Callithrix jacchus: one gene and its partners. The protein of the gene in region 3 binds, or shares a complex with, the protein of the main gene of each other region. Links are inferred from orthologs where the notes say so. Each region holds a gene or a part of one and is shown on either strand. Other genes may lie near its edges.

The links.
Region 1: TRAPPC9 (region 3) and TRAPPC12 share a complex: the UniProt entries of both Homo sapiens proteins name them as parts of the multisubunit TRAPP (transport protein particle) complex. The link is inferred for Callithrix jacchus from reciprocal best matches to the Homo sapiens genes TRAPPC9 and TRAPPC12.
Region 2: TRAPPC9 (region 3) and TRAPPC8 share a complex: the UniProt entries of both Homo sapiens proteins name them as parts of the multisubunit TRAPP (transport protein particle) complex. The link is inferred for Callithrix jacchus from reciprocal best matches to the Homo sapiens genes TRAPPC9 and TRAPPC8.

What each region holds. Positions count from the first base shown.
Region 1 is NC_133515.1:111,639,008-111,643,218, forward strand, and holds the start of TRAPPC12 (trafficking protein particle complex subunit 12), read right to left. Parts: upstream 2,944-4,211; 5' UTR 2,862-2,943; exon of another isoform or gene 2,825-2,861; intron 1-2,824. UniProt on the Homo sapiens protein: Component of the TRAPP complex, which is involved in endoplasmic reticulum to Golgi apparatus trafficking at a very early stage.
Region 2 is NC_133514.1:74,973,446-74,977,094, reverse strand, and holds part of TRAPPC8 (trafficking protein particle complex subunit 8), read left to right. Parts: intron 1-2,409; coding exon 2,410-2,484; intron 2,485-2,963; coding exon 2,964-3,090; intron 3,091-3,649. UniProt on the Homo sapiens protein: Plays a role in endoplasmic reticulum to Golgi apparatus trafficking at a very early stage. Maintains together with TBC1D14 the cycling pool of ATG9 required for initiation of autophagy. Involved in collagen secretion.
Region 3 is NC_133517.1:57,087,613-57,091,261, reverse strand, and holds part of TRAPPC9 (trafficking protein particle complex subunit 9), read right to left. Parts: intron 3,065-3,649; coding exon of another isoform or gene 3,055-3,064; coding exon 2,471-3,054; intron 1-2,470. UniProt on the Homo sapiens protein: Functions as an activator of NF-kappa-B through increased phosphorylation of the IKK complex. May function in neuronal cells differentiation. May play a role in vesicular transport from endoplasmic reticulum to Golgi.

The DNA of each region.
Region 1 (4,211 bases), on a different chromosome or scaffold from region 3:
AACAGGACCCTAAATAATCCATGAGAAAAATGAAAAACAGAGCTGAAGTGGGTATACATTGAAACATACATGCTGACAAACAACTTGGTATTACCTAGTAAAGTTTAAAAAGCACAAATCCTATCACGTAGGTAAGTATACATCTTGATTTTCCCCAGAACGATTCAAGTTTTCACCCATGGTCTAAGTTATTACTATTATTTTATCAGTATTATTATTTTCTGAGACACAGTCTCGCTCTGTCACCCTGGCTGGAGTGCAATGGCACTAAGGTGGCTTATGCAGCCTCAACTTTCTGGGCTCAAGCCATCCTCCTGCCTCAGCCTCCCAAGCAGCTGGGACTACAGATGTGTGTCCCCACACCCAGCTATTTTTGTATTTTTCATAGAGATGGGGCCTCAATATGTTGATCAGGCTGGTCTTGAATTTCTGGACTCAAGAGATCCTCCTGCCTTGGCTTCACAAAGTGCTGAGATTACCGGTGGGAGGCACTGTGCCACAGGTAAAATCATTACGTGTCTCCTTTCACTCTAAAAGGAGTCTTGGTTGAAACAATAAATACGCGGTCACAGCACCTAGGACCTAGTGCATTGTTACATACATACCATGGAGGAATTCCTGTACGTGAGCAGCGTAAGCTATGATGTTGACTTTCATAAACAAATCAAAATACCTTTCTTCTAAAGCCCTAAAAGAAAAAGTGGAAATAAACACTGCCTGTAGACGAAATAATAAGTAAATAAGTAGCATGGTATACTAAAACAGAAAATATTGAAACAGTGGTGAAAATCAGTGAACTGTTCCATATCCAACACATCAATGATGTTTGGATCTCACAAATTAAAATTTGCACAAAGAATGAGTAGAAAAATAAACAGCATGATTCTGTATATTCAAATGTAAATTAAACACAAATGTTGAATTCAAACACATTTTTTTGCGTTAGGAACACAAACACATTTGGTCAAACTGAAAAGAAAAGCCAGGATACAGTAAAAACCACTATATACCCACTATAGTGAAGGAGGGGTGGGAGGTGATGGCATGAGAATTTGACTGGGGAGGGACACATGTGAGTTTCACAGCAGTGGCAAGTGGTCCCATCTCATGCTGGTAACGGAAGACTGGGTTAACTTGCTCTTTAAATCTCACGAGTTACAGGTAGTCTTTATCTTTCATAATCAAAAATGGAAAAACACAGGTATCTGTTCTTGATTTGTACATAAGTCTTTACTCCCTCCTGTCATGGACTTTAGTTTTATTAAACCATAAATGGAATTTTAAGCTTACATAAGCTTTGCATCACAGTGCAGCAAATAATCTGACTTTTTCCTTGTCTGAGGGCTTTGCACAAGACTGTGCTTAACTGTTTACATTTTTTAAAAATACTAAATTTAAGTAATTCTGTATTTGAGAAATAAAAAGTTCCTAATAACATTTAAGACTTGTTTTCTCAGGTTCATTTTCTGGACACAGACATTGTGAATATAAATCTTTTACCAAATTGCAGTCACATGAAATTTCTTTCCATAGGGGCACTAGAGTGTGTAGTGGAAATCTAGGTAGCATGTATTAATAGAAGTCTCTAGGTAATGAACACTCACTACAGATCTAGCAGTTTATCTGTATTATTTAATACTCATCATAAACTTATGAAGTATTATTATTACCTCCATCATACAGCAGAGAAGGCCAAGTGATTTGCCTAACGTCACACTGATGATACCTGATGGTGACAGGCTACCCACACAGGGTTTCCTGCCAATAACCTTTTCTCTGTGCTGGTCACCTCTCCGCTCTCTTGGCAATGTCGCTAGGCAGGGATGGGCAGAAAGAGCTCTGAATGCAGGGTCTCAGTAACTGCGTTGAGTCTTAGTTTCACAGCCAAGTGAAGTGACCCCTGAAAATCTCCAACTTTTAGAAGAGACTGGTACCTCAGAATAAAGAGGATTAAGCAGTGGTGCCCATGCACGGACATCTTTTAAAGTGTGAAGAGCTGCACAGATACAAGCATAGCAATTATCATTTTAACGAGAAAGCAGAATGGCAGCACAGTTTAGTCACCGTGAAGATCCAGTTAGAAATAACTGAATGAGTGACACCGTGACTGTAATATTTCATTTGCATCTTCCCTCTCCCACCCCAATCCCACATAGGGGCCTGGCTCATTATTCACCGCTATCTTCTGAATTTACGAAAAGAAGAATGTTTGAATCCAAAAATACCATGTCTTCAAGTAAAGGTACAAACCGTAGGTCCAAGAAAATTTTTCCTTGGGGCCACTAAAGTCTTGTAGTCAAGAGTGGAAAAATGACACGTTAAAACAAATCTTTGACGCTATCGCTTTCTGTCGAATAAATGCTTTTACCGTCTTCACCGTAGATATACTCTACATATTTACTGTGAAGCAACAGCGGACATTTACAGTGACTGAAATGCTTTCACGCTGCATTGCAGCCTCACAACGCTGAGTTTGGCAGGGCAGGTCATTAGTAACCTCTTTCCGCACGAGGGTGAATTAAGCCTAAGAGAAGTTACGGGGCTTGCTGGGGGCCAGGCTGGCACCGAGCCTGGAGTTGGGGGTTTCGGGGACGCCTGGGCTCGCCAGCGGGCAGCTTCCCCTCCCTGCAACCGCCACGGGCTGCGGAGACGCTTCCAGCCTCTGCAGACGTGGAGCGCGAGGGCCGCGGCAGCACCGAGCCTGGCACAAGGCCCGCGGAGCGCAGACGCTCTCGGGTGGGAGGCGACCCGCGCCCGGACCCCACGCCCACAGCATCCGTCCCAGAGAAGAGCCCCCGGGCTGAGCCGAGGCCTTGATCCTCACCTGCCACCCGCCCACTGGGGCTGGGGGAAGGGGTCACCTGCGGCCGTGACCAGGGTCCGGGAGGAAGGTGACAGTAGCCAGGAATCAGGGAGCCGAGCCAGCACCCGGCGGCCTTGTGCGCCTGCGCATAGCGGGCCGCCGCGCTCCTACTTCCGCGCATGCCCGATGCAGGAAGAGGTGGCCCTAGCCCCAGGCCGGAAGTGGGGTTCGTTTCCGGCTCGTCTGCCGTGGGCAGGGCCTGGAGCCCAAGGTCTGAACGTGCCCAGAGAACCAGGAGTCCGTAGTTGAGGGGAACGGACCCTGTGGTTGGAAATGGGAACAGAGACTACACTCAATCTAGCCTGATGCTATCACTCAGAGGCAATAGGCAAGCCTGTGGCAGATGGGGCGGATGAAACGGAAACGCTTAGGCTATTCCTCTTGGCCAACATAACCTAGAAATCAGTGTTTCTAGGGATTTGTCTTTGTGTTTATCTGTATTTTCTACGTTTCTTACCATGCACCAGCAGTACTTGTATAATAAAATTGATGATACAGATAATATCAATGATAGGTGGGTGGATTTAGTCCCAAAGCATGAAGCCCCTCTTGGCTCTGCCAGGTAATGTCAGCAAACAGTGGCTGAATAGGAGTCTCACGTCTTGGCCATTGCTTACTTGAGTTTTAATGTAATCTCTAAAATTTCACCCACTCAACAGATATTCATCCAGCCTTAACTCCATACCACGTGCCGTGCAGGGTACAACTGATCAAAACCAGACCCAACCATTTCTGTCACGAAGATCAATAAAGGGTAGAGGGAAAAGCTAAATAATCACAGATATGAAGGAAAGGTGCGTGGTCCTGGAAACCCCGGTGGAACCTGGATAGCGGCGTCGTTCGGTATGATGTAGTTTTGAGTCCTTGTAATGCCATTTCTGCTGGCCCAAGGCCAGGGCAGGCACTTTGGGCAGGATGCGCAAGAGGGGCGGTCTCTCCACCAGAAATCTTCAGTCTTTGGAGACCCCTAGAAGCCCCAGGGTCTTCCCATCTGAGTCTCATTCGGAAGCATATGCTGGTCTTGTACTACCAGTGGTGCGGCGCTGGCTTTCATGATAACCCCATCCTTGGTAGTGCTTCTTTTGCCACACAGGGCTGGGCACCTGCAGAAATGCATTAGGTATGACCCTGACTTAGGGCACCTTTGGCCGATCCTAAGGGAGTCAGACAGCTGAAGTGCACTACTCAGGCCGGGTGTGGTGGCTCACGCTTATAATCCCCAGCACTTTGGGAGGCCGAGGCGGGTGGATCACGAGGTCAAGAGATCCAGACCATCCTGGTAAACAAGGTGAAACCCTGTCTCTATTAAAAATACAAAAAATTAGCTGGGCATGGTGGCGCGCGCCTG
Region 2 (3,649 bases), on a different chromosome or scaffold from region 3:
GCTTTTTACATTCTACGCTTTATTGGCATATTCTGATATTAACATGTCTTAATATTTTATTTCTGCCTAATTCATTATATGAGTGATTCATAAGCTAGTTTACTATCTTTGGCAAGTTCCCATTTGTTGACTATCACAATAATTCTGTGGTTCACATTTTTGTGTGTGGCTTTTTATCTTTAGATTATTCTGTGGGGAAGATCCCAGGGCATGAAGGGAGGATTTTAAGGAATGAGTATTTTAGTGCCCTCCTGGTTTCACAGAAGTTCATACCAATGAGCTTCTTACTAAGCAGCATATGGGTTTGAGTGTCTCATCTTTGTGATAGTCAGCAGTGTTACTTAAAAAAAATTTTGTTGATTTGATATTTTAAAAAATGCCATATTACTGTTTTATTTTTTATTTCATTGATTGCTAGTGACGTTGAAACTCTTTGTTTTTCCTCTTTTGTGAATTGCCTATTCAAAACATAATTTGTATTTTTTTCTTTTCCATATCTTGTAATAAGTCCTTTACATATACCTAAAATAGTTAATTTTGAAGCAGAAATGATCTGGTCAAATAGTTTATTAATCCCTATCTGACTATAAATGAAATAACTTGGACAAATACATATAATTTACCTACTAATTTATTAGTTTATTCACCAGTATGTATTACATAACTTGCTTTTTTATACAACCTTGCTAAATGCTTTAATAATGTGGCAAAAAAAAAAAAAAAAATGATTTTGGAACTGGAAAATACCCCAGCATTTTGGTGCTCAAGTGTTTTGATTTTTTAAAGATTGCCTTATTTTAAGTCTTGCTTTGGCCTAGTCATCATAGTGAGACTTCCATCTCTACAAAAAAATTTAAAATTTGCCAGGTGTGACAGTGCACATCTGTAGTCCCAGCTACCTGGGAGGCTGAGGTGGGAGGATTGCTTGAGTCCGAAAGGTTGAGGCTGCAGTGAGCCAAGGTCATGCCATTGTCCAGCCTGGGAGACAGAGCAAAATCTTGTCTCAAAAACAAAAAACAAACAAAGAAAATTAAATAAATAAATAAGTCTTGCTGGTTAAATTTATTGAAGATATTTTGTGTTATTTATAATCATTGTTGATAATTTGAATGACTGAGATTTCTCAGGCTGTACCTATCCTGTCTTGAATTTTAGCAAACTCTGCATTTTTTCTAAAGTTTTGGAAGCCTGAATACTGATTAGAAGAGTATGGCTGAGTGTGGTGGCTCACACCTGTAATCCCAGCACTTTGGGAGGCCAAGGTGGGCAGATCATGACGTTAAGGAATTCTGGCCAACATGACAAAACCCTGTCTCTACTGAAAATAAAAAAAATTGGCTGGGTGTGGTGGTGGGTACCTGTAGTCCCAGCTACCTGGGAGGCTGAAGCAGAAGAATCGCTTGAACCCAGGAGGTGGAGGTTGCAGTGAGCTGAGATCATGCCACTGCCCTCCAGCCTGGGTGACAGAGCAAGACTTCCGTCTCAAAAGAAAAAAAAAAAGTACAAGCAATTAAACTTGGAAATGTTTTTTTTTAAAACATTTATTAGCTTTTTAAAGTATATTAGTCTGTTCATTATGGGAGATTTTTAAAGGAGATTTAAAGATAAGTGAACATTTTCATTTTATGTGATGAAGTATTTCTTAAAAAATACTCTTTTTTTCTATAAATTTCAAACTCTTTGGATTTCTTCATGACTAAGAAATGAAGAAGTGGACTAAGATGGCAATGGACTAAGATGCTTAACTGGAATTTAGGGAGACATAATTTTGGTTTCTTGTGTTAAATAATGTCATGGTAAAAGTGTAATAGTGTTCATGAGGATCAGGTTTATCTCCAGTATAAGCCAGTTAACTCTTCTTTGCAACATGACAAGACAAATGTCGTTGCTTTGGGGAAAACAGGCCTTTCCCCCCTCTCTCCTACTGCTCTTATTGTTCACCTGTCTTTCTCTATCATGCTTAGCCCACCATTACCTTTTCTATGTAACTGATGAATTTTGCAAAAGAGTCTGGTCAGAGCAAAAGAAGAAATTTGCTCTTATTGTAAAATTAAATTAAATGACCATTTTGGCCATTGTTGCCTATGAGCAGCTGGGTATTTTCTCCAGGGGTTTTTTATTGTCTTGGTGGAGATATCTTCAATAGGCTCCCCGCCCCAACCCCGGGTTTTGAAACAGAGTTTTGCTCTGTCACCCAGGCTGGAGTGCATATGTTGAGGGCCTACTACAGCCTGGGTTTACTCTAGGTGTGGAAATAAAAACACTCTGTGTAGAGCTTAGCATGTGGTAAAAAAAACCTAGTAAATGCAGACTTTAATGCTGTTGTTTTGGAGTATTGATATATATGGGAGTGTTAATAATCTGCTTTTTGATCATTAGACTGTATGTTTTATGAAATTTATTTTTTAGGTTACAAGTGAACCTGAAATGATTGGAACTGAAGTTATTTCAGAATTCTTAATTAATGGTGAAGAATCAAAAGTGGTAATTATTTTATCATTTCTCTGCTTTATGCCTTTCTGAAAGTAAGATGAAAACAAATTTTAAAATCATCTTCACTTATTCAGTTTATATTCTAATTTTCATAAGAACTAAAATTTGGAAGATTAGGAAACAGGAATTACTCAGGAGGAAATTGGTGGTTTGTAGTGGTCTTTGATTCATTAGTTTCCTGAGAAGCCTGTTGAATGGTTTTTGCTTTCTTCTTGATGTCAGTGTGGTAATTTCACCTGATATTTAGTTGGCCACACTATTTTGCTTTTTATGAAAAGTGATTATTGAGGATTTAGGCCTATAATTGTTAAATTTAGAGATTTTATTTTGAAGAAGATGCTTTTCATAAATTAATTGGCATTTTAAAGTTTGGGTCATAAGTTTATGTTTTTGCAACATTATAGAATTAGGCATTGTGCTATTTAAGATATTATGAAAGCATAATAAGAGTGACTTAAATATCTCCACAGGCAAGACTAAAGCTCTTTCCCCATCACATAGGGGAGCTGCATATTCTGGGAGTTGTTTATAATCTTGGCACTATTCAGGGCTCTGTGACAGTAGATGGCATTGGTGCTCTTCCCGGATGTCACACAGGTAAAGGCTATAGCATTGGTAAACAATTAGAAAACTTGCTTAAATCATTCCATAGAAAAAAAAAATGAGCAATAATGAGGTATTTTCTAATTAGGTTTACTGTACCTTTACGTAAAGGCATTTAGCCAGTTGTAAGAATGACAAATTTAGATTATTTTAATCTCTAACATAGTGTCAAAAATAAACAACTTGATTCCCTTCTGATATATTTTCTTTTGATAATTTTTAGACTGTATGTATTTTTTTCTGTTATTGATGCAAATTTAGTAAATTCTAACTAAGTAAATTTTAACCGTTGATTGTCTGCTGCCAATTTAAAACCATATTAGTATGTTCTATTTTTTGAATATTTCCTTTTTATAAATCATGGAACAGATTAAAGAGCTGTGTTTTCACATCATTGGATATTAAATATCTTAAAGTTCTATCTTCTGTCTTGAAAAAAAGCATAGGGTTTTAGTGTTAATCTCATATTCTTGGTGCACTATACAGTATGTTCTACACATACTACAAGATATATGTATTTAACATAGTTTTCTTTGTTTTTTTAAACTCAGGG
Region 3 (3,649 bases):
GCGTGAGCAAGCAACTTTATTCGCCACTGTATTTTCAGTGCCTGGAGCCATGCCTGGCACATGAAGCCCCTCAACCAACACTTGTCAATCATTATCCACTATATGTGAGGCACTGTGTTCCAGCACACTCTTATTCCTGCAGAGTGGTGAGCCCAGATTTCAAAGACAAAAAAGACCTGGCATTCAAAGGTGGCTCTGCAGCCTTATAGCCGAGAAGTGGATGACTGAAAAATGTCACTGGTGCCCTTGAGGCAAAGGAGGAAGGCAAAAATCAAGGGGTCAGAGCAGGGTTCCTGACCCATGCTGCCTATGAGCTTTCAGCCTTCACCCCTTCTCTGTAAAGCAGGGGCAGGCTGCTCCTTGCCGACCTTGCAGGTGGCCGCCAAGTGGTGCACACCATACAGCACCACCTTATCAGGGATGACTCTGCAGGTGCCTGCTGGCTGGACAGCAGTGTGCGTTCTTCAAAAGGCACAGGAGGCACAGCAGAAGGCCATGAGATGAGGTGGAAAGGCCCTGGGCCTCAGAGACAGACCCGGTGCTTACATCAGCTCTGCTGCTCGCTGGCTGCCCAGGCCTCTAAACCTTGCTGCTCCAGCCCCTTATCAGCCACCACAGCAATCCCATTTGGATGGATCGCAGGGCTGCATGAGGATTCAACACAGAGCAGCTCTACAACACGCCTTTCCCCTTCCTTAAGCCACATATGCACATTTGGATGAAGAAATGAAAATTCTTTCCTTCCAGACCCTGCAAAGCACCACAGGCAGGTGTGATTGAGGCTACTCTATGCTTCCAACACTGAGGCCTGGACTCAGTCTGTCAATTCTGTGATCATTTCTCCTCAGACTGACCAACAACCAGAAAGAAGTATACCATCTGACCTTAGACAAATTTAAGAAACATGCTGAACATCTACTTTGCGGCAGGCACTATGGCACCACGCACATTACATCATTGACTCCGCACCTATGGCTCATCAGCCAAGCCTACACAGGCGGAAGGAGAGCCCTGCCCCAGCCAGGAGGCTGGTGAGTGACACCTCACTTTCCCTGGCAAATGAGGATGCCCTCTTGGCAAACAGTTGCTGCCTAAGCTTGTATCCCATCCAGCTCTGCCGGAGAGCCACCGTGGCAGGACAGGGCAGTGAGTAGAGAGTGGAAGTACGTGGCAAGAAGACCTCATCAGTGATTCAGATTCGAAATAAAGTTTTTGACTTAATAACAGGCAAGATGGGAAACTGACCTTTTCCTGCCCTATCCAACACTCCCTGTACACAGAGAGAATAGGCATCCTTTCCGTTTGTGTAACGTAGCTGTTAAAGAGCTCCCTGGTGGTATTTCTGGCATCCTGATGCCCATGCTTGGCTGCTCTGTAAGTGAGGAATTCGACGCTGCGGCCATCAGGAAAGAAAAAGTAGCCACACACACAGGGTGCCCAGCCTGGGAATCAGGAGACGTGGGCTCCACTTCTAGCTCAGCTAGGATCTGGTCCTTGCCTCTCCAGATTCACCCTCTCATCTATGAACCAAAGGGATGAGACTGAATAAAAGTGTTCCAGCTGTGCTCTAGCACAGTGCTGTCCAGCAGAAATAAAACACAAGCCACCTAAGTAAATTTCAGTTTCTAGTTGCCACATTTTTAAAAGTAAAAATCAAATAGTCGATACTAATTTTTAAAATATAGTTTATTTAACCTAAGATACGGAAAATACTATCATTTCAACATGCAGTCTATATAAAACATGTCAGCAAGAAAGTTGGCCAGGCACAGTGGCTCACGCCTATAATTCCAACACTTTGGGAGGCCAAGACAGGTGGATCACTTGAAGCCAGGAGTTCAAGACCAGCCTGGTCAACATGGCGAGACCCTGTCTGAACTAAAGATACAAAACTTAGCCAGGTGTGGTGCTGCACACGTGTAGTCCCAGCTACTCGGGAGGCTGAGGCATGAGAATCACTTGAACCCTGGAGGCAGAGATTGTAGTGAGCTGAGATCACACCACTGCACTCCAGCCTCAGCGACAGAGACTCTGTCTCAAAAAAAACAAAATTAGCAAGAAAGTTTACTTCTTCAGAAGTAAGTCTCAAAATCCGGCATGGCCTTTACTCACAGCCCATCTCAACTCAAACTAGCCTGGTGTATAGTACCCAAAAGCCGCACCTGGCTGTAGCTGCTGCATAGGACAGAGCTCCAGGAGTCCCAAAAGGGGACCCCCAGTAAAAAAGGGGAGTGTACAAGAAAACTCCAAAAGACTCCCCCAAACCAAAGCCCGTCTCTGTCTTTAAAAGTCACTGGGTTTTGTTTGGCTGGTTTTTTAGCAGCACTCAAACAGATTCTGACACAAAGTCCTTAGTTTTAGAAACCAATGGACAATACCTTTCTACTTGTTGATGCAACAAAACTCTGCCATGTGCTTTCCCCTTCTGATGCAGGGAAGCCAAGGGGCCTGGGTCTCTAGGTAAACTTACCTGCTGTCTGTGTCCAGTCCTACAAAGTCCTTTTTCTCAAACGGGACACAGAGAAGAGGGATCTTATCCCCAGACTTGTCTGTGGCTCTGTCCAGACGCTTGGACTCCAGCACAATGAACAGGGACTCAATGAAGTCCTCGATTCTCTTCTCCACCATCTGGCAGTCTTCATAGTTGGGGTAGAAGGCCACATCGGTGCGTGCCTGCTCGGCGATCTCCCCCTGCAGCCCAAAGACAAAGAGCCGGGAGTCGTACAGCGTGGAGCCATAGATCTCCTTCTGCACGTGGAACTTCTCGAAGGTCTGCGGCCAATCCTTGGCGGAGAAGCAGTCTGTGATGGTGATGAGGCCCACGACTTTGCGGTGGGTCTGGAAGTCACCCCACTCGTTGTTCTCGGGTGGGTAGTGGTGCCTGTAGCGGATGTAGAGGACGCGCTGGGAGTCCCGCACGCTGATCTGACTCACAGAGCAAATCCTCTTATAGATCCTGAAGAAGTTCTCCTCAGAGACGATGCCCACAGGCTGGACCACCACGAGCAGCGTCTGGTGGTCCTCAGCACACTGCATGTAGTCAGGGACACTCATTTTGAAGTCCCTGTTCAGAGAGAAGAAAGGAGGCTTTGAGACACACAGTCCCAAGTGCTGAGAGCCCACTCTGGGAGGCAGTGACTCTGACGTTCACTACCGGGAGGCGGGGTAAGCCCCAAGGAAAGCCAGGACGGCAACAGTTCTTAGGGCTCTACACGTTGCTGTCACAGCTCTGATGATAATGCTCAGTCCCTTAGCCTCAGCTTGGAGCTTCTGCAGAAACGGGGCTGCTTCTTGTCTTCCTATTCCCACCATCTAACCAGGAGTAGTAAGAGTCAGTGCTCAAAAATGTCTGCTGAGTGAACGAATAAACACATGTGTAATTGCTCCCCCTCCCCTGAACAGGATATAATGAAAAAAACCACCATGCAATCAGATCTGAATTTGAATTCCAAGCTCCCTGAAACTCCTCAGCTACAAAGTAATGGTGATAATAGAACCTGCTTGGCCAGGCGCAGTGGCTCACACCTGTAATCCTAGTACTTTGGAAGACTGAGACAGGCAGATCACTTGAGGTCAGGAGTTCAAGACCAGCCTGGTCAACATGGTGAAACTCCACCTGTACTAAAAATACAAAAATTATTCAAGTGTA